Caenorhabditis elegans: one gene and its partners. The protein of the gene in region 1 interacts with the protein of each later gene in a pairwise test. Each region holds a gene or a part of one and is shown on either strand. Other genes may lie near its edges. The genes, in order: insc-1, ceh-45 and grsp-2.

The links.
Region 2: the proteins of insc-1 (region 1) and ceh-45 interact in a two-hybrid assay, tested with the Caenorhabditis elegans proteins (one large-scale study listed by BioGRID).
Region 3: the proteins of insc-1 (region 1) and grsp-2 interact in a two-hybrid assay, tested with the Caenorhabditis elegans proteins (one large-scale study listed by BioGRID).

Annotation. Positions count from the first base shown.
Region 1 is NC_003280.10:7,356,012-7,364,628, forward strand, and holds insc-1 (Protein inscuteable homologue C-terminal domain-containing protein), read left to right. Parts: upstream 1-2,901; coding exon 2,902-2,976; intron 2,977-3,187; coding exon 3,188-3,357; intron 3,358-3,942; coding exon 3,943-4,040; intron 4,041-4,085; coding exon 4,086-4,196; intron 4,197-4,575; coding exon 4,576-4,616; intron 4,617-4,729; coding exon 4,730-4,874; intron 4,875-4,926; coding exon 4,927-5,041; intron 5,042-5,093; coding exon 5,094-5,284; intron 5,285-5,331; coding exon 5,332-5,426; intron 5,427-5,471; coding exon 5,472-5,572; intron 5,573-5,620; coding exon 5,621-5,720; intron 5,721-5,771; coding exon 5,772-6,017; intron 6,018-6,098; coding exon 6,099-6,252; intron 6,253-6,299; coding exon 6,300-6,402; intron 6,403-6,712; coding exon 6,713-6,993; intron 6,994-7,041; coding exon 7,042-7,163; downstream 7,164-8,617. Other genes in the region: haf-2 (ABC-type antigen peptide transporter), read right to left, coding at 1-415; msra-1 (peptide-methionine (S)-S-oxide reductase), read right to left, coding at 7,266-7,640, 7,774-8,022.
Region 2 is NC_003279.8:1,125,474-1,133,130, reverse strand, and holds ceh-45 (Homeobox domain-containing protein), read right to left. Parts: upstream 4,808-7,657; 5' UTR 4,773-4,807; coding exon 4,705-4,772; intron 3,922-4,704; coding exon 3,737-3,921; intron 3,326-3,736; coding exon 3,117-3,325; intron 1,910-3,116; coding exon 1,844-1,909; intron 1,659-1,843; coding exon 1,497-1,658; 3' UTR 1,366-1,496; downstream 1-1,365.
Region 3 is NC_003282.8:8,813,587-8,820,036, forward strand, and holds grsp-2 (Glycine-rich cell wall structural protein 1.8-like), read left to right. Parts: upstream 1-2,761; coding exon 2,762-2,816; intron 2,817-3,051; coding exon 3,052-3,303; intron 3,304-3,498; coding exon 3,499-3,645; intron 3,646-3,766; coding exon 3,767-3,973; intron 3,974-4,207; coding exon 4,208-4,294; intron 4,295-4,341; coding exon 4,342-4,407; coding exon of another isoform or gene 4,408-4,418; exon of another isoform or gene 4,419-4,531; coding exon 4,532-4,567; exon of another isoform or gene 4,568-4,719; coding exon 4,720-4,787; downstream 4,788-6,450. Other genes in the region: T28C6.10 (Transposase), read left to right, coding at 5,207-5,286, 5,329-5,503.

The DNA of each region.
Region 1 (8,617 bases):
ACCAAACAAGAACTTGAATGAATCCGGAAAGAATAGACCAAATGACAGAAAACCACAATCCGGGGAAGTATAGTTGATTCGAGTCCTCGGAGAAAGCCAGAAATTTGATGAGAGATAATGAGTAGACGACTACTGCATTGCAAATCACCACAGGAAACAAAACTTTAACTTTTTCCCTCTTGTTGAGAATAATGAGAAGAACCGCGATAGCACAAAATGATTGTCGTATGAATGAGAAGATTTGAAATTCGTATGGAGTTGTTGTGAAGTGATAAGGAAGGGAGAACGTGATGATGCCCAAAAATGAGTCATAATTGAACTTCCATCCTGGAGCAAAATACCCAAATGAGACGTTAGTGATAGCTGCATCAATTAGCATGTACAGGTATAACGACGTATTGATCCATCGGTGCATCTTAAAAAATTAAATCTAGAAATTTAACGCGATTCGAAAGAGGGAAAACGAAAATAAAAGAGCGATGTTTGCCTATTCACTCTCATAGGGAACGGCAAATGAACAAGACATCAGTATCAAAGACCAGAAACAGAAAATGGAGAAAAGCAAAAATATGGCATTTATAAAATGGGAGTTCTGAAATAAAATGTGATACACGAGACAATGGGCGGAGATTACGGCATGATTACGAAATATGAGGAAACACTAGGAATGACTCATGCACTAAATTATTGTTTTAACAAAAAGTCGATAATTATATTGAATTCTCAAAAATACTATAGAGATCAACTGTGCTTGTAAAACTTCAATAAATGTTGGTTTAGAATTTTAATTAATTCTTATCGGATAATAAAAATTTGGCTCAAATTCTCAATTTTTAGGTCCGGTCTTTATTTTAAATAGTTTTCCTAGAAACAAGGTTTGTGAAATAACAGAAAAATCTAGCAATTTTCTACGATAAAACTTGAAAACTAGAAAACGTAGCTTTTACATCTACAGTAAAATTCAGAAAAGTGCTTTGTCGATTTACGATAAACAACGCGACGAGTGTCATTTCGGAGTTTCGTTATTCAAGTTGCCTGTGCCCTCTACATCTTGTACACTGTCTCGCGTTCTGAAAAATTTCCAGGCCTAGAAAATGATTCAAGTGAAGCCTGAAATATAATCTTGATATTTTTCCAAAGATAATTGATACAATGTTCTTTTGTAAATAAATCCTTTTGTAATTTTCATATTATTCTAATGCTTTTTGGGGAAAGGTTTTCGGAAAAAAGGTTTCCGCATTCTAAAAATATTCCAGACAATCCCTATTTGATGAACAATTGGTGGTGGTGGGCGCAAAAATCCACTTGGAAATCAACCATATGTCACTCATCAACCCCACTGTTTTGTGACGTTTTGATGCGGAGCCAGAAGGAAAAGAGACACTCATTTATCTTTTTTATCATCAAGAAGCGGAGAATCACAGCGGGTTTTTTGGCTGATTTATATCCTCTATGAACCCACGAGATAGGTGTTATTCTCCCAAATCACACCGTTTATTGCCCTTTAAATTTTAATAGGTTTTAGAGAATTCTACAGTAGTCAGAAAAATACGTGTTGTTTAAACTTATTGTTAGAACAAAACGAAATTCTAGCTGTTCAGTGGAGGCACTCATCATAAAAAAAGTTAATTATCTTTGCAGGAACAGTAGACAAAAACTTATTAGCAATAACCTTTAGTTTCTTCTAGGAACAATTGTGTTTTAGTGTAATTAGGTTACCTGGGGGTATATATCATGTAGAATGAGCATTTTTCGCTTATAGAAATTTATTTGAAGAGTCTCTTCAAAATATACAAAAAAATTAGATTTCACTTCTAGAAGCTTCTGCCTAAACTTAAACATAATTTAAACTTTTAAATTAAAACTTCAAACTTTTTTAAACTTTGTTAAACTTGAAAATCACAGATTTTTTTAAAATTTGACCAAACTCCGGAGTTTAGGTCTGAGGTAGGCGCGTTTATCAAATCATACCTGAAGCTCTAGTAAATTTAAATCTATATATTCAACTGAAAAAGTTTATTGAAAAGTGTAGAAATTCAGCTTTGTGGCATGATTAAATCACCAGTTGGTATTTTGTTGGAAAAAAAATGTTTAGACACACTTTTGGTAAATTGCCAAAAAATGCCAAAACGTGTGATTTGAACACCATCTATAGCTTATAATATTTGCGTAAATATACATTTTTATTAGTCTTCCAAAGACGATATGACATTAATTTTCATTTTAACTCTAAAATTTTTTTCTGTTTTTAAATGTTCTGATACTTATAATATATTCAAGATTTTTTATAAATTAAAATTAAAGTCTGCACATCTTATCATATTATGTAGTACACAAATTGCTCCTGTGGGTGCTCATCTTGCTCTCTTTCTCTCTATTTCTGAGATATTGTGACCTCTACCCTTCCGCCTGCTTTGTAACTCACCAGCTGATTTGCATTCCCTCAAAACATGTCCAATGCATTCAACTAGACCGGAACCCAATTGGCATATTTGCTCCACAAATTTTTTGACATTTCGTTTTTTTTCGTTCAATCTTACTTCCGCCTGCCTCCCGCGTCCCACGTCGATTCATCTCTTCTCACTTGCCGCGCGCATGAACTGATCCCGAATAGAGAAGTCTATGTTTGTTTTGAGAAACTCATCATTTATCACCTTCACTTTTCTCTGTGTCTCTCTATTTCATACAATATTCACAAGGTCCCGATGGGCTTCCCACTTGGATATTATCGCGCATTGACAAGAAGAGACACACTTCTTACAACAATATCTTTATAAAATTATGAATATACTTGGAGCGTCCTAGTGAAAGTGACAACTAATAATTAGAACTGCTCGTTTCTTTCACTTTTCATTCTTTCTTTTCAATTTTTACTTTTTTCAGCTAAATGCTCATATAAACATGGCCCGATTGGCCCGATTCTGGGATTCCCTGGAAAACGAGAATTTATTCGATATAGTTCCACAACCTCCAAAGGTCTCAATTTATTGTTATTAAAATTTATAATAGAAAGAAATAAAAAAAAGAGACCCTTCTAAACTTTAGGCTTTACTTGAAAAATGCTTTCAAAAAATTATTGTTAACTGATACAAAGAAGCAATCTCTTGGAAATATTTTTGATGAGCTTGAAACATTGCAAAAATCAGAAATCAGATGAAAACTGTTTATTAATAAAAATTAATTTCAGTCTACTGTAACCCGGTTTCATCAGCAATGGCTCTCAAGTTTGGCAAATGCCCGAGACGACGAGCTCCAAACAATTTTATATGCAAAACCATTGCTTCCAACTCCGGAATCTATCGTACAATTACCCGATGAAGAATATTATGGAGCCAAGAAAATCTCGGTCGGCTACAGGTAAAGTGGTTGTTTGTTGTTCAATGCACAGGGAGTCGGGTTACCCGACTAGTTGCGGTCATTCAAATCATTTTGCTCTTCTTTTTCGCTTTACAAGCTTCTTCTTCTTTACTTTAATGAAATATTTTAGCAAAAATTTTGTAATTAATTTTTGTTGTGTTCCGCCAAGAAATTGGATGCGAACAGGTGTCATCTTGGCCGCCATCTTCAAATAATTAATGACTTTTCTCAAGTTGTTGAGCATGTCTCTTTCCGAGATTCTTTGTTACTTTCTATCAATATCTCTCGTCTCGTATAAAGTTCTTATATACAGAAGTTTGAGAAATAAGTTATTTTATCCACATTTTCTTTCAAGCTTCCAACTCCAAAAGTCAAATCAAAAAAGCAAACAGTAGCTATTGGTGCGAAAAGATATTTACCGCGCGGAATGGGAAAGAGATAGTTTGCAATTTGATCCGCATTAAGAATAAATTCATTATTTCATTCATTTGTAGTATTATTGATTACTTTCAAATCAATGGTTCTTCGGTAATTCAAATCATCAAAATTTTAAAATATATAAATTAATTGTTATTTTATTTTCAGCAAATCAATGTTATCAACTTCATTGGGCAATATATCAGCTCCTCCAAAACCTCAAAGGAGGATAGCAAGGCTACGAAGTGGAGCAAATGATTGTGCAGGTAGTAACAAAATGAAAATTACTTTATAAATGTTACAACTTTCAGCAAGTCTTCCTCAATTGTTGGAAAGGAATTCTATCGCTGAGATGATGAACAACAGTCTGAGTGACAAGTATAACTCAAGTAGCACTACTTTGTGCTCGTCCGTTCATGCTGGTAAATATTTTGTGGAGAATTTAAAAGTTGATAACGATAGTGAGAGAGCTAAAACACGTCAAATGCCCTTAAATTTTTCAGAAAGAAAGAAACTTGATACCTTGCAAAAATGAAATTATTCTGGATTTTAGGCAGTATCATTTTTTCAATTTTTGCGCAATACAATTTTAACGATTTTTTCTTGAATTCATCTGGACTAGATAGAAAACAATGCAACTTAAAAAAAGGAATCAAGAAACAAAAAGTTGACTCCCAACATAAATTTTATGAACTCTCTTTTCCTTAAACTTTCCCTAGAGCACTGGGAAAACTTGCGGCATAAAAATGCTTTCAAGTTTTGAACATTTCCGTCCTGTTTCTCAAACTCGAGTTTTTATAGAGTCTTGCCCAACGGACACCGAGGATGCAATAATTCGAAATGTGAGTTCACTTTCTTTTATTCCTTCGTTTTTTCTCGTTTTCTATCCCTTCACCACCCCTTAAATTTTATCTTAATTGCTTCGTTGATTGGCAACACATGTTGAACCATTCAGATCAAGTTGCCCGGCTTCCGAGGAAACATTTCACGAGCTCTGAGCCAAAAGAGCAACTCTCCATCTGGTTGTCGAACACCAACTCCTAAAACAGCGCCTCCGTCGTATGAACAGTTTCAGGTTTTGCGACGGAATTCTATGAAATGTGAGTAATTTTTATTTCGTTATCTTTTGCTGGAAAAATTGAATTTTTTCAGCTAGTGTGCAACCACAAAGAAATGGAATTTTGTCTCCGGCCCCACCAGTTCCAACTTCTTCAAGAGCAAACACAATAACTGTTAATGGAGCACATGTTCAACAGGCAATGAACAGGTACTAAATAATTATTTTTAACATTAAAGATAAAATAATTTTGCAATTACAGAATAGACATGAGCACTGACAGCGCAAATACAATTCTCCGATCTCCATACAGTACTCGTTCGGATAGCATCACAAGTGTCGACTCTGGACAATGTTCCGGAGATCAAATCGAACGAAGATCAAATTGTTCAACTCGACAAGAAAGTAAAGATGATGATGATACAGGGATGCCAAGCTATGCGAGAATGGCTAGTCAGTAGTCATTATTTGGAAATTGAATTTTTAAAGAGAAAATTCAGGTACAATGGATCATGTTCTCAGAACATCATCTGCTTTGTATACTCTTCTTTCTTCAGCTCTGGATCCAGCAACTTGCAGAGATTTGTTGGCAAAGGTATTTTGTGCATACTGAATTAAGTTACAAAAGTTAATATTTAAGTCTTCTGTGTTCATCCAACTGCTTGAATCATCTCCATGTACAAATTATCTTCCAAAGACTGAAATGGCTCGATTAAAAATGAATGTTCAAGAGTTACAAAAGTAAATCTATTATTGAAACAAATTAAATGTTACCTTACGTTTTTCCAGAAATCGAGATAAAGGAATAATTGACATGAATAATATGACAAACTTTTTTGCGATTCTTCTCAGAAAGTCTATAGAATCAGTACTTTTGGTGTTTGTGAGGGTAAGTTACTTTTAGTTTAACTATTCAATTCATTCAAATATTTAATTTCAGATAATATCCAAGAATCTATGTGAAAGTAATGGAAAAGATCGTCTGACACCTATTTGTTTAGAGCATCTTATTCATATTTGTTTATTTGGAGATGAACTTTGTATTGAAGCAATTCAAAAAGGATGCATCTCATCAGTTATTCGAATTATGAAGAATGATCAACCACAGGAGAACACTCTTAGATTTTTACTTCGAACATTGGCAGTGTTATGTGGAGTTTCAAAAGGAGCACTTGCTTTGCTCACGGTAATTAGATATATTTTATAATCAATACTTTTCAATACAAATTCAATACAAATTCAATCAATACAAATTGATTAATTTCAGCAAGGAGGCTTGGATTTGGTTATTGATAGACTTTTATCCATTTCCTCATCAATCTGTTCCGTCGAGGCAGCTGGTATTCTGACACAACTTACCAATCCTCAGTCTGCATTCATTCGGTTAAATCATGTGGAACCAATTATATCCAGACTTTTGGGTAACCAATTTAAATATAAAAATTGGAGACTAAATAATTAATTTCAGATCTAATAGATCAATGTAAATCAGGTGACTCTTTGCTTTTGGCAACCGCTGCATTGAACAATGTGACACTTCAGAACCCAAATGGAGTTGATATTATGTACAGGTTTGTTGAATTTTAAGCATTTAACTATTTTCGCAAAAGCTCAGTACAAAATTAAATTTGAACCAACATTAAATTGAGCTATAGCACGTAATTGTAGAAAATGAATGCAAAATTTCAAGGCGAATTCCTTGTTCTAACTTTTGTAGCAATTGCTACAAGTTACCTAGAAACTACAAAACGGTAAACCAGCCTACCAGATAAAACTGAAAACAGTCTCGAATTTAAAAAAAAATCTGAAAATTTATAGGATCGCTCTCTATTTTGGGATTTTGAAAAGTTTTTTGCAACATGTAAATGTAAATATTTTCAGAAATAATTCAATTCGTCGTCTGATATCTGCTTATAATCGAGAAAATTGTGCCACTGTCTTCGTCCAGGAACAAATTGTTACAGCCTTTTCTCGCCTTGCCGCCCGTCATTTAGATCATCAAATGGTTGATCAAAATGCAATTCCAGTGCTTCTTGAATTTTTATCCCTTACCCATCCAATCCATGCGGATTACTGTAGAAGGATACGGTACAAAGCTGCTGTATGTATTGGTACTTTAGCTAACAGTGAAATTGGGCTCAAAGCCTTGTATGGTAATAATGGTGAGATTTTCAGAATTATTCAACGTTTCATATATGTTCAAGTTACAGCCTACGCAATTTTGAGCAATGTGCTTTATGATGACAACAACTCTTCAAATCCATTTAATATGATATGCAACAATATTCGCACAAAGTTGGAATCTAAATACCAATCTGAAAGTGCAGTATAATATTCAAATATCTTCCTTTGTTAAACAAACAAACACAAGAATCTGTGATAAAATAAAATTCATTGAAAACCTGATAAAAGTTCGATTGTACATTCATATAATTTAAGCATGACAGTTTCTTGGATCTCCTCCTGACAGAGCATAGTCCTTCACCTTATTGACAAAAGAATCCTTTAATCCGTACTCTTTTGCAAGACGCTCAAGATCGTGGAAGTCCTGGAAGCCAGCACAATATGCGTTCAATTTTGTGGCAAGTTCTCCTTCAGCAACTTGAGTATCAAGAAGAGACAGTTCATCGAAAAGAATCTTCTTTTGACGGAACCAATATTTTTGATGGTAATCTTCAGCTTGATAGAACTTGTCCAATGGCTCAATATATGTTTCAATGTCTCCATGCTTGTCCTTTGCTACTTTCAAAGTTTCTTCAGCGACTTTCTTTTGGTCGTCATTTACGTAGAGAATCGCAGATTGGTATTGCTGAAATTGAAACGAATTAATTTGAAGTTTAAATGTATTTTAACCTAAAAAATTATAATCAATTAGAACTTACTTTTTGTTACGTTTTCCAGTAGAACAATATTTGAAACTTTAAAGTCAATTCGAAAATTACCTTCTTTCTCCTTTCAGCTGGGTTGTGATGCTTCCAAAAGAAGTTGGTGAGCTTTGAGTATTCAATAACTTTTGGATCAAAAGTGATCTCTGTGATTTCAGTATGATCCTTGATATTCTTATAAGTAGGATTTGGTTGTTTTCCTCCAGCATATCCAACTCGTGTCACCACAACTCCTTTCAGCTTCGCCCATGCAGATTCTCCCCAGAAGCACTGAAGACCAAAATAGGCACGCTCCAAATAAGCCATGTTTCACCTGAAATTATATCGGATTGAAAAAGGTTTTGAGTTTATAAAGGAATTAAAAAATTAGTAAACAATGTAAAAACGTATGTTTCACAGTCAATTTATATACAAATCGGGGCGGAATCAAAATGTGATTCCTGTAAATTTTGCGATTACATCAGAAAGAGGAAAGAGACGCAGAGGGAATCGATGAAGAAGACAAGTAGAAAAGAAAACATACAATGTTAGACGCAGGCATATAGACACGACATGCTTTATCATCATTCTGCCAGCAGTGGTAGACGAAGAAAAAGCAGATGGCCAGTCAGAAATGATGACATAGATCGCTTTTTGGTAAAGATGTTTCTTTTGATGATATTGAGTACACGTTGGGTTCAATGGACAATAACTGAGCTTTTCCATGAACTTTCTTTTGATCAAAATAGTTTCTAATTTTAGGCCCTGTATTTTTCGTTAGAAATTGCAAAATGTTCAATGTACAAATGAATAAGTTATACCTAGTTGACGGAGCTCTTTCACTTGTGAGAACATTGAACTTTTCCTCGTCTTACAACAATCGTTTTTTTTTGTTTATTCGATTAGCTAAAAAACAATTAAT
Region 2 (7,657 bases), on another chromosome or scaffold:
TTCTACTGATTTTGCATGGTTAAGAGTGTACTGTCGTCACAAATTCCTGGGGGAAAAATTTCCGCCATTTTTGTAGATCAAACCGCAATGAGACTGACTGACACCACGTTATTTTGTTTCAGTGAAGTTTGCAGACTTCTTCTGATTCACGTAGTGCCAGGCTGTCTCCTTACGGTTTGATCTACAAAAAAATGCGGGAATTTTTTGCCCGAAAAATGTGACGTCAGCTTGAGAACTTTGCGTCTCTTCTCCCGCATTTTTTGTAGATCATAGATCAACGTAGATCAATCTAAAATGAGACACTGCTGATCAAATTGATCCAATTTTCAATGTTGTTTGAGACCGCTGTTCGAATTAAACGCAAATCTGGGTTCCAGAGCTAACGAATTATGATTTATCGGTAGAACGCAATTGCATTCGTAGATCAATGAACGAGTTTTTACAATTTCGCGGCCCCACAGAAAAGTCACGCGAGAAAAAAATTAACACAAGACTATAACTTTCTCACGTGGTGCCAGGCTGTCTTAATACAGTTTGATCTACAAAAAATGCGGGAATTTTTTGCCCTAAAAATGTGACGTCAGCACACTCTTAACCATGCGAAATCAGTTGAAAAGTCTGCGTCTCTTTTCCCGAATTTTTCGAAGATCAAAGATCAAACCAAAATGGGACACTTTGAGCTTCCGTGCTTTCTGAGCCCGTGTCTTTTTCCACACCCCGCTCATATATTTTTTCTAACAGCGAAAATTGGAATCTGCTTTCCTCTCTGTCATTCATAATTCAGAAATAATTCTAATTTCTTTGGAAAACATTGGATTAGCCTCTTAAAATGACTTCGCAACGTTTCCCACGAGAATTTGCAAAAGATTTGGGACCTTCGGCAGCGGGTGGGATTAGTGCGGCGGATTTTGACCGGATTTGCAGATTGGTGCATCGATGCAAAAGTAAACTGAAGAGAGTGGAACCCCCGAACAAGGGACTGGTGCCTTAAATCAGCGCCATGAGCCGCACCAATGGTCGGCGGCAGGTGCGAGAGGCGTAGGGGAGCCTGGAGACAGCTAGGTGTCACACCGCGGTGTGCAAACGCGCTCTGTTGAGAACATCATCAAATTTCCACATGATTACCTTCAGGGTAGGTATCTTAATACCGTACTTCCTCTTTAAAACAGTAATACCTTCCACACACACGCATAAATCGTTGCTGATAAAAATGCTAATTCGATTAATTTAGCAATGTGATTTTCCTTACAAACCCCCCTCTCCCCCCAAACGGCTACAGTAATCCGCCAGAGACCGGTCGGGCGGTGCGAATTTTACGGGGGATTATCTACAGTAACCAACCACCACAACAAAATGATAACGTGATTAGAATCGGATTAATTCGCCACATACATTTATTGACTTGACAAAATGAGAGGGGATGGGGGGGACTAGAATATAAAGAGGGGGTGGCCTGGATTTCCAGCTAGGTGGGGAATAGAGATTCAAATTATATGCTAACAAGGCTCCAACACCAAATTCTCGCTGTGCGATGTCTTCAGTGAGGCTTTTGATTCGGGCGAGCTCGTCTCTTTTCCGCTGGAATTTTCGCGTTTTATCCGTTTCACTTTTCGGGTGTCCTCGTCGCTCTCGTCACATTCGGAATCGTCTCCGCTGTGCTGAAAATGTAGAGAAATTTAGGTAAAAAAAAATCACTATTGGGTATTGAACCAAAAACTGTTGACACAAAAAACCGCGCCTACCACTGAGCCAATTTTACCGTTCTTGGCGGTGATGGAGGGAGACCGTGAGAGTACAGTAGAGCGCATTTGAAAATTAATTTTCAAAAAGTGTACTAGCTTACCTTAGAAGTCCGACTGTCGTCCTTCTTCTGCTTGCGCTCTTTTGCCCGACGATTTTTGAACCAGACCTGGAAGAGAAAATTTATTTAAAGAATATTATTTTAAAAATCGATTATTCAATTGATAAGGCACGTGGTGCTAGGCTGCCCCATTACAATTTGATCTACAAAAAATGTGGGAATTTTTTACCCAAAATTATGTGACGTCAGCACGTTCTTAACCATACAAAATCAGTCAAAAACTCTGCCACATTTCTTGTAGATCTACGTAGATCAAGCCAGCGCCGGCGGCCGAACTATGACGACGTCACTCCTCTTCCAGCGCCCCCCTCATCCTCTACAGGTTGAGATTTGCCGGGTTAAGTGAGTGAGGCAGGTGGAAGAAGATAAACGGAAGAAGAAGAGCTGTTGGTGGTGATGAAATAATTGAAAAGGGCCGACACGATTTAGGCAGGTGAGAGGTTGTAATTAGAGATTACCCCACAGACGGTTTTCCTCAGAAACACAGCTATATGGTATTATAGGGTTTAATGGACTCATTAACCCGGAATGTTCGGGTATTGTTTTTTTTTTTGCGAAAAAATAACTTTGAAATCTGTAAAAACCCGGGTAGTTGAAATCCGGGAAAACCCACTTTCGTGGATTTCAACTACCCGAGTTTTTTGTCTATTTCGCATAAGATTTTTAAAAGACCTTCAAAATGTGGTTAAAAACCACCAAAAAGCTTTAAAAATTCCGGAAAAAAACTCGGGTAGTTGAAATCCACGAAATTCAATTTCTATGGGGTTTCGGTCCCGTGGATTTCAACTATCCAAGTTTTTAAGTCTAATTCGCATAAGATTTTTAAAAAATCTTTAAAATGTTGTTCAAAACCACCAAAAAACTGTCAAAAATTTAGAAAAAAACTCGAGTAGTTGAAATCCGCGGAAACAAATTTTCCGGGAAAATGTGATTCCGCGGATTTCAACTACCCGAGTTTTTTTGTCTAATTTGCATCAAAATGTCGTTCAAAACCACCAAAAAGCTTAAAAAATTCTGGAAAAAAACTCGGGTGGTTGAAATCCGCGGAATTTAGATTTTGCGGGTCTTTTCAAAACTGTTTCAAATAATCTTAAAATTACTGAAAAGCCGCCCCAAGAGAACTACACGGCCAAGGATTGCTCCGCGCTTTTGTTAGGCCATTGAATTTTCTAGTCCCCAGGAATTTAATTTAGGCCAGCCAGTCTTACAAAATCGGTGGCCTAGGTGTGACGTCACTCCTCTTCCATTTACTCACCTCAACTCTTTCTTCCTTCAATGAGCACTGAACCGCGAGCTCTTCTCTCGTCGTAGCGTCCGGGTAGTGTGTCGTTGAAAATGTGGTCTCCAAAATGTTCAACTGCTCCTCGCTGAAAATGGTACGATGCCGGCGTTTTCGTCGGGAGGCGTAGTGTTGATGGTGATATGGAGCCATGAATGGAGGCATTAGTGGTCCGCAGAGCATTGCTGAAAAATTTTAGTTTTTGAACAGTAGAGCGCATTTTCAGCATCGCTTCCTTCTAGTTTATCACGTGGTGTCAGAGTGTCTCATTTCGGCTTGATCTTCGTTGATCTACAAAAAATGCGTGAGAAGAGACGCAGAGTTCTCAACTGATTTAGCATGACGTCACGATTTTTGGGCAAAAAATTCCCGCATTTTTTGTAGATCAAACCGTGATGGGACAGCCTGGCACCACGTGGTTTAGTTCTAATGGAGATTGTTATTGAAGCATGTGCGCTCTTTTGATAAACTACCGGTGTATCGACGTGGGCGATATTGATTTTTTTAAAAGTTCTTATCCAAATTCGAATTTGCGATTTTTTGAAATTACCGACAAAACGAAAAATGCGCTCCACGTGGGCCACACAAAAACTTACAGAAAAACGGATAATTAGCCGGATGAAACTGCCATGGCAGGGCAGAAGCCGCCGCTGCGGCTCCCACTGCTCCAAATGGATCTTGAAAATTGTGAAGCTGCGGAATTCCGGCCAACGGGTTCGAGAGCAATGTGTCAATTGAGAATGAGGTTGATGTGGACGGAGAGGAGGATGACGAGGAGATACTGGAAAATTGGGATGTTCCGAGAGGATTACACATGGAAAAATTTTGTTTTCACCCCCGTGGCCTAGAATGTCTTCAGAGGAAAACTCTTCCATGAAAAGCCCTTCACATATTTTTTAAAAATATTCCTAGGACACCATGAAATTTTCTAGGAGGATTTTGATTTTCAAAATGGAAGAGTTTGCAGAACCAGGTCATTTTGGCTCGGCCATATCTGGGGTAGATTTACGGCGCGTTGCGTGTCGCGTCGCGGCTTGAGTTTAGTTGTAAAACTAAGTGCATCTGTCCGTGTGGAGTACACGACTTTCCCACGCGTTGTCAGGCGGGCGATTGTCAATGGAGCACGAAAAATTCAATGAGAAACGCCAGAACACCGTGAATTTTCAAAAAAAAAAACAATTTAGAAATCTAAAATTTCAGGTAGAAATGGCCCCGGTGTACTTCTCTCGGACAAGTAGTGCAAAATTTTGTTTAGAATTTTGTATAAAAAATCTTGAATTTTCATTATTATTTATGGCAGTAAGAAAATTCTTTTTTTTTAATAAGTTGTCCGAGTGGAGTACGAACCTATTTAAAAAATATTTTAAGTGAAAAAAAAATGTTTAAAAAATGGAAAAACTTTTGAAACAAGTTTTGAAACAAAAAATTTTTGAAACAAAAAACTTTTTTTTAAAACTTTTTTATTTGATTTTTGCTTATACTAAATTGTACTTTACTAACACTACAGAACCCCCTTTAAAAGCCCCCCAAGGCTTCACACGAACCAAAAAAAAAAGGAACCAACCTTGCAGAATTCGGCGTCACCAATTTGTTCATAGTTTCAGGTGTCATTAAAAACGGGAAGGATGCCATGTGTCACACCGTAGTGGGGGATGCGATTCTTCAGTGTTGTTCCCCTCGTAGATCATCAGTGCCCGCCCACTTTTGTGCTTTTGGCGGTGATTGGGCCGGCACGCCCACTTTCTTCGTCGCGCGCCGACGTTTGGCGCAGTGGGGAAGAGAGGAGAGAGGTGTGAATAAATAGAGATTGAGAAACATTGAGGATCCCCTGCTTGTATCGGTGGCCTAGAATTTCGAATTTCAGTTTTCCGTTAAACATCGTGCCGGAAAATCGAAAAGTGTATAGAAATGACGTCATAAATGTATTTAAATACATTTCGAAAATCCTAGAACGTCTGTGGTCTAAAGCCTAAAACAAGGATTTCCTCGACTACAAGGACCAGGATTTGGCTTAGATTTTCCAATTTCTAGGCCATTGGGGTTTTCTAGACTACCAAGATTTTGTGAAACATATCTGAAAACAGCTTAAAATTGAAAAATTAAAGAGAACCCTCAAAATGAAGATATTCACTTGTCCGAGAGGAGTTCACACATTTTATTTTCATATTTAATAAGGCCTAGAATTTCGAATATCAAATTTTAAAATTCTAGGCCCCTCAGGTTTTTGTATTTTTGTACATTAAGATTTTGGTGTACAATGGGAGTACACATTGGAGAATAAATTTTGCAATTATATAGGCACGCGGTAGGCGGAGGTCGTTTTGAAGGCAGGTGAATTTTTTTATTTTCCAAGTTCAAATGTTGTTGGTTTTTAGAGTAGGCATGCGTGTAGGCAAAATGAATGCCTTGATAGGTACAAGGCAGGCCTTGAAGGTAGACCATGGTAGGTGGGGATAGGCTTTGATAGTCTTAGGGCACATTGATTGGTACAAGAAAAGTAATTGCACGTGGTGCCAGCCTGTTCCATTGCGGTTTGATCTACAAAAAATGCGGGAATTTTTTCCCGAAAAAACGTGACTTCAGCACATTCTTAACCATACGAAATCAGTTGAGAAGTCTCGTAGATCTACGTAGATCAAACTCTGGCGCCACGTGTAATAATAGGCACAAGCCATGCCTTGATAGGCTCAAGGTAGGCATTGAAGGTATTCCATGAAGGCAGGCATGCCTACTCGCTCTTACCCAGATATACATGTCATGGCAACTAGTCAACCTGTATACATACACACCCGTCTCTCCATTCTGTCAATTAGTTATCATGATTTACTGCCTGACGGCGGCGCGGCACAGTGTCAAGAATATGTAATATGTCTCTGTTTCTCCAATTCTCATGTCCCTTCTTCGGGCGAGGGTTTCAATTTGGGAAAGGTGGTGTGCATTCAAGTGTGAATATCTGTCGGTGATCCTTCCTTATTTTCTTACTTTTCATATCTGATCGTCCTTATTCGGATCATTCCCCTTATTATACACAGGTGTCCCTTCAGAATGGGGCGGCTGAAATTGAATAAGGGGGTCTGGAAAAACTTAGGATTAGGCTTAGTATTAGGCTTAGGCTTAGGCTTAGGCTTAGGCTTAGGTTTAGGCTTAGGCTTAGGCCTAGACTTAGGCTTTTGCTTAGGTTTAGGCTTAGGTTTAGGCTTTTGCTTAGGTTTAGGCTGAGGCTTAGGCTTAGGCTTGTGCTAGGCATAGGCTTAGGCTTAGGCTTAGGAGTAGTGTTAGAGTGTTAAATTTACCCTTTTTAGGATTTTTTACCGCAGAACTTAAGAGAATTCATCAAAAAAAAAAAGTTTGAAAAATTTTTTGTCCGAGTTTTTATTTTAAAGATTGACTATAACTGTTCTTGTGGTCTAAAATTCTCTAAAAACTCTTCCACGAGTCAAAATGTATAGATAATGACTTATACTCACCTAAAACTCTTTCAATACAGTATACTTTCCCACCAGACGAGTTAAGGTGTTAATGCTACCTCCCGCTGAGAGCCTCCCCCTGACACCTTTGCCCAAGAGCACCGCCCGTGCTTCCTGTGTCAAACATTACCCCATAAGTAACAAGAAAAAAGTGTTGAGATGGGGGAGAGGTGTGTAAATATTATAATGTTACTGTAGACTATATGGATAAGAAGATGTACTAGTCTAGGGGTCTATTGGATTAACTCCTTCTATACCATGGAAACATTCCGTTAATCCTGTGTTTACCGTTTTCATGGAGAGATAAAATATAAATTATAAAAGTTGTATCAAAGTATGAAAATCGTCAAGGAATTTTGGGAAAGGGCCGATTTTTTTTTGAAAAAAACTGGTTGAATAAAGTTTTTTTTTTCAATTCTTCGAAAATATGTTTAGCTTCGCTTTCCAAATTTTAGAGGCTTAAAATTTTAAATTTCAAAATTCCAGGCCACTGAGGTTTTTGGATTTTTGTACATTAAGGTTTTTTTTTGAACAGAAGGCGTACACAGAGGAAAATAAATTTTAAAATTATATAGGCACGCGGTAGGCGTAGGTCGCTTTGACGGCAGATTTACTTTTCTTTTTCCAAGTTCAAATGTTGTTGGTTTTTAGAGTAGGCATGCGTGTAGGCAAAATGAATGCCTTGATAGGTACAAGGCAGGCCTTGAAGGTAGACCATGGTATGGGCTTTGATAGTCTTAGGTTCACATTGGTTAGTATTTTTGTCTATTGTTTTTGAAATTAAAAAAAAACAATTTTTAACTTTCTTAGTGTAACCACAATTTCAATCGTTTTCAGGTTCAATTTTTTTGTGAAAAAAATTGTTTCAAAAAATGTTAGAGGTAAAAGTTCGCACCTAATTTTTTTTCCAAATTATGCTAAAATTATTTTTTTAAAATCCTCTAAAATTTGGATTAAAATAGAATAAAAAACGAAAATATTGAAAATTTTCGGTTGTTTTTTCGACAATTTTTCCAATTAAAGGTAGGGTACCGAAATCTGGAAAATATT
Region 3 (6,450 bases), on another chromosome or scaffold:
TAGTCTTAGTTAAATAACAAGTGATTTGAATAAGAAGAACACGAGATGAACATACACTCAGGTGATCCTAGTAGTTATTACACAAAATCTGAACTCAATTTATTCATTTTGCAAGTTGGTCAACTCGGGTCATCTCTTCTCTCCCTCTCTGCGTACTCTTTCTCTCTTGTGATAAGAGATAATGAGAAATTCAGATATATTACAGATCTTAGAGAGTTTAGAGATATAGTGGAACAGTTGCTTCACGAGGGGACCACAACTAGTCAGTGGGTGGAGTGAGTTGTCTAGGATTTGACTCAGATTTTGATGAGTAAAGGACCCATGTACCGTGGATACTTCAGACTAATAAGGAGCTATTATAAACTAACAAGGATCTTACAAAAATATTTAAAAATTGGTCATTTGAACTTTTGATCTTCTGTTTTGTGAAATCTTCCACATATTTGTAACTGGATCGTAATACAAACTAATAACGATTTCAGAGAATTGTGATAAATTAGCTAAAATTGTATGAAATTATATTAGCAGGTTTTTGTTAAGGTTTAAATTTAAAAAAAAACCTGTATACAGTGATCAGTGAGAAATTTTAGTTTTTGTTTCAGTTTTTGAAAAGTTATATCTCTGACTTTCACTTTCTTTAAAAAAAATTCTTTAAAAAAATTAAATCGGTAAGCAATATTACAAATTACAAATAAAATACAACCTACCACTATATTCTATAACCTAAATTCCAAGAAAAAAGAAAGAAACATACCAAAAACACATCAGAAAAAACTGAAAATAATAATGCAAACTCAATTATGATTAGCTCCTCAATGACTAAATTCCTCCCTAGAAAACCGAAAATCCATAGACATATGTGAAAGAAAAATATATATTTATAAATGCAACAGACGTGAATAATAATGCACATTTTATAACTAAAACTCAAAAAATGATATGAGAAAGAAACACCATCTTTTTTTCAAAAAATAACAATAAATTAGCAGAAATTTGAAACGTTTTGGGCCTGGAAATAACTAAAAATTACAGCCATTTTTGTCCCGCGACAGTCTGAACCAGGAATATTTTTTCTTGGAAAATTAGCTGCAATTGGCTGAAATTATGCCGAGAAGTGATCTGTTTGAAAACATATATGATTGAAGAAAGTTTCATGTGCATTGAATTTTGATTGATTGTTCCACAACTTTTGACAGTTCTGATTGATTGGCTAAGGGCATCTGGACGAACAAGCTCATAGACAGAGTTTTTCCTCTTTCGGGATATTTGACAGATTCCTTTTAAAAAGTTACTCATGAATACGTACTATAACGTTATAGTACTAAAAAGAGATTAGCCTTTCAGCTGGGGACAGACCAACGGCGGACCTCAGTTTGTTCGCCATGGAGCAGCCTGCGGCATTTTGAGCCAATTTTCAGTAATTCCGTTTTACCTGTGAAGAAACAAAAACCTCCCAATTTTCTATTTAAATGAGTTAATAGTGTTGGAAACATTTGCGCTGCTTTGACTGGTACTTTGATGAAGATTTGAGTATCGTGGAAAGAAAAAACTCTTTACAAAATAGTTATATCACTTCTGTACTTTGTAGTTACTCAGATTTATTTTTTTGATTCATTTTCCTCTCTAAAAATTACATTTTTGTGTTACAAAACAGAAGTCAGAAAATAAATGTATCCTATCACAGTTTCTGTTTAAATTCTGACCTATCGTTTCTTCTTGAAGTCATCACAAGTTTCCAACAATAATCAATCATTCAATCGTCTCCAAACACACACTGTTTCATAAACTGACCATTCTCGTCTTCTTCTTCTTTTTCATTTCCTTCTTGATTGCTATATACCCTGATAGTCTAGAGATCAACAACATTTGTTTCGGTTTTACCAGTTTTTTCTCACGAAGAATACGATTGAGTTTTGAATGTTTCAGGAATGGCTTTCTCAGACATTTTAAAGTTTATTATTAAAGCATATTAAAGTATATTAAAGCAAAATAAAATTCAATAAAGCAGTTCTATTCTAACTTTTAAAAAATTAAAATATGCATTTCCTGTATAAATATGGGCTTACTTATTTACATTGCAAACAATTTTTCGGCTGATGGGGCTCCCTCCTTTGGGGATCATCCCTGTTCCATTTTTGAGCTTCATCTAAAATTCCAATTTCTGGATACTGGAGCCCCAGAGTGGAATCTGAATAATGGAAAGCCGTGTAATCAGTATTGATATCAAAATTAACGTTTAACTTCAAGATCTTTAATAAACTGAAAAACAGAATACGAAACATAATTATTAGTTTGAACCGGAAGCAAGCCAAGAATTCGCAAAAAAAATTCTTCTTTTTAAAATATTCTCTTGAAATAGATTGAATGAATCATTTTGAACATTTTTAAGTGAACAATTATACCACCATGGCATTTTTTTTCAATTTTGATTTTTTTTGTCACAATTAGACGAATAAGCGGAAGTGAAGAGTGTATTATGGTAGTAACGGTCTGGATGCGTCATGTCATCATCTCCTTTGTCAAATGATAGATAGAAAGAAGAGGACAAATTGTTATTATCTTCAGTTGATGAAGATGGACGTATAAAAGGAAGAAACAAAATCAGACAATTTGATCAAACGACTGTGTCAAAACTATTCTCATTTTCCGTGATTTTTTATATTTCTCTGGTTTATAAAAGGATTATTACCGACAAAATCTTTTCCAGTTTCCACTTTTCGATATGTTTTAAAAATAATTTTATTTCAGCTTTGTATCAAAAATGAGGCTCACATTGCTGCTTCTTGCAGTAGTTTTAGCCTACGTGGCAGCTCAGGGTAAGAATTTTTATTAGGTACTTTTATTTAGTTATTTGCTTTGCTTTTCTAAAAGAATTTCAAATCGATTATTTTCTGCACGAAGTTGTGTTTTCTTTAAGTTTCTAACGCAACAATTCTAAAACATAACATTTTTGAAAGGAAAATTTACAATGATTTTGTGCTTAACATCACATTAAACACATTTGCAAATTTTGCTCACTTGCACTATCTCACACATCACAAAGTTTAACAGGATCCCCAGGTCGTCAAGGTATAAGCGGTGATTCAGGTGATGGTCTCTTTGGTGGATCTGATGCTGGAAGTGGAATCGGTTCATCTGGAGGATGGGGAGGATCTGATGCAAGTGCTGGAGCATCTGCAGGAGGAACAGGTGGCGGACGAGGTGGTGGTCGTGGAGGATCTGGAGGAGGACGCGGAGGTGGTAGCGGTGGTGGACGAGGAGGATCAGGAGGCGCAGGAGCTGGAGGATCTGGAAGTGGATCAGGTAAGGGGATTGCGGAATTCATGCACGGGCCTCACCTACTTTTTTCGGAGTTTTCACATCTCCCACCTCCTGAGTGAAACACATCTCATTTTAACCTTTAAAATATTGGAATTAAATTATTATACATACGAAAAAACACAGTATGATCATCGTCTTGTTATCTCATCACGTCTTACGAATGTTCAATGATTTTAGGTGGTTGGGGAGGCCAAGACGGTGGAAGTAGTGCTGGAGGATGGGGAGGATCACAAGGAGGCTCACAAGGTGGATCATCCGGTGGATGGGGAGGATCAAGTAGAAGTGATTCTGGATCCGGCCAAGGAGGATGGGGTGGACAACAAGGTTTGTGGGAAAAACATACAATATTGATTTTCAAAAAATTGATTGATTTCTATTTTTGAGAAAACTAAAGTTCAATGAATTTTGAAATTTTGAAGGTTATATGAAATTTAAACTATTTCAGGAGGCAACTCAAACGCCGGTGGATGGGGAGGCTCTCAAGGTGGCCAAAATGGTGGAGGTGGAAGAGGAGGATCCGGTGGTCAAGGCGGATGGGGAGGAAGCCAAGATGGCGGATCTCAAGGTGGATGGGGAGGACAGAATGGAGGAGGACAAGGTGGCAATCAAGGAGGTGGTGGTGGACGAGGAGGAAATCAAGGAGGTGAACAAGGTGAGTGATTTTATTATATTTTTGAATAAAAAGAAAAAGAAACAGAGATATAGAGTTGGGGCAAGAGGAGCTAAGAATTTGAAAACTTCACATTCGATGAGAGTGGGGAAGTGTGACTTGGAAAACCAAATAAGGTGATGCAAGTTTACCATCACAGTAAAGAACTTGTGAATAGGTTGATGAAAAGTTGAAAATCGTTTCAAAAAACATGCATAATTGATCACAATCTTCCAGGTGGATGGGGAGGACAAGGCGGATCACAAGGTGGCTCCCAAGGTGGTTCCCAAGGTGGATGGGGTAACCAAGGAGGTCAACAAGGAGGTTAGTGTTATCTTTTAATATATGTATAAAAACATTTCAACATTTAGGAGGTCGCGGTGGACAACAAGGTCCAGGAGGTTGGGGAGGCGGCGGAAGAGGAGGCGGATGGGGAGGTAAGAGTTGATTTTACTTTGCATTGAATTCATTATTACTCACATCACGTTATGTATCACATTGTTTTTTTCTTGGAAATCGAAATATTCGGGAAATTGATTCACTTTTTCACTACTAATTCAGGTCATGGTGGTGTTGGATGGGGTGGTAGAGGTGATGGTGAGTTGGAGTGTTTAGCAACCTTTGTTACCATAAACAGCTCATTAATTGTTTTATGTTAATTCGTTATAACCTTGTACATTCTCGTTTTTTTTTTAAATAACCCAAATTAATTTTTCCCCGATTTTATAATTTTGCAAATATTATTCCAGGATGGGGACGTGGATCCCGCTGGGGATGGGGACGCCCATCATGGGGTGGATGGGGACGTGGATGGTAAATGTCTTCAATATCAACTTTAATTTCAAACTAACTGCAATTGACACCTCAATCAAGTTTTGATTCGGAATCCCTAATGTATTACCTTTTTGTTTTGCAATACTTTTTGGCAAAAGTACTATAATAAAATCGTTGTTTTTTCTTGTTTAATTTGTTTGCTTGATATAATATATTTATAAATGTTACCTTCTCATAGTTTCCAAGACGTCATTATTGTTTTGCAATCTCCTGTTTCCTGTATTTTTCTATATACGACCGCCACTAGCAGTTGGTAATACCCAACGGTCTCTACGTCATCTATGTTATTCTAGCCTGCTGTCTGCCTACCTGTCTTCCTACTCATTTCCTATTCACCATTGTCTCCCTTAACCTCTTCCTAAAACTCAAAGCGGTTTCTTTTGACTTACTATTAGAAAAATTATGAGGCCGCAAAGAAATAGCAGAGAAGATCAACTACAGGAACAACTAAATAAAATCAAACGGGAATTGGACAACTACAAGTGAGTTGACATTGCGTTCAATGTTTAATGGGAAACTTCCAGACTTGAAAATTTTCTGTTGAAAGAAGAATTAATCATTTCTCAAAGTGCCATTCTGTTTGTGGACGATCAAAATAAGAAACTTGTGAAAAAGTGCCAAACTCTGAAGAAAAATGGAAAGCCTAAAAGAATGGGAATACTGGGATCTTTTACAAATTGGATTAAGTCTTTGTTTTGAAATTATACAGTTTTCTATATAACGTTAAATAAAATAAATTAATACATCCATTTGAAAAAATTGCTAACGAGTAAAAGTATTCGGTATAATGTTTGTGAAGTAAGCAGTTTTTCAATTCTATTTGCTACTGTTCAAAATCCGTAAATTTGTAAAACTGCGAGAATAAAAGGTATTTGAATTTTATTGTGCTTGCAAATAGTTCTAATTAGAAATGAAAAATCTTGTCCTTTTTTTTTTTGAAAATTCCAGATATGCGCGAAAATAAAGTTTTAAAACTTTCGCATCTATAATGCACTTTAGCTGTTCCTTGGATCATAAAAGTTAGCATATCTGATGCTCTGATTTTCTCTTGCATTATATTCCGGGATTACTGTGATTTCTTCTCACACTTTCAATATGTTATTCTCACCAGATTGCCATCAACCATTCCATCTAAAGAAGAAAAGAGCCTACTGCCGGCTGCTGACCTTCTCCATCTTTTCTCCCTCTGTATATCTCTAAACGTTCTCGTTGGTGCAAAGATGTTTGATTATCGACCCACCAAGAAGAACAAGGTGACCCGCACTCACTGCCCCAAGCCCTGTTCTTAATGATTTGCAAATAATTGCACATCACGCGGTCATCAACTCTCGCATACACGATCTCATTCATCTCAGTTTCGCGCATTATTTTGTATTAGTCGTAAAGTGCTAATGTTTATTGTTTTATTTTGGGTCTAATAAATATCCAAATAACAGATTAAAAAACCTCAACAGAGCAATTGATCAGAGAAACTTTTAACTTCACATAAATGTGTTAACTATTTATTTTTTTTAATTAAAATGTAGAAGTTCAAGAAGGAAACCTTTCTGTATAATCCGAACGTATAGGTAATTTTTTTTTGTTTCATCCACTTATGAAATTCTCTAATTATTTGTGTAAACATCTTACCGTTTTCGATCGAGGCT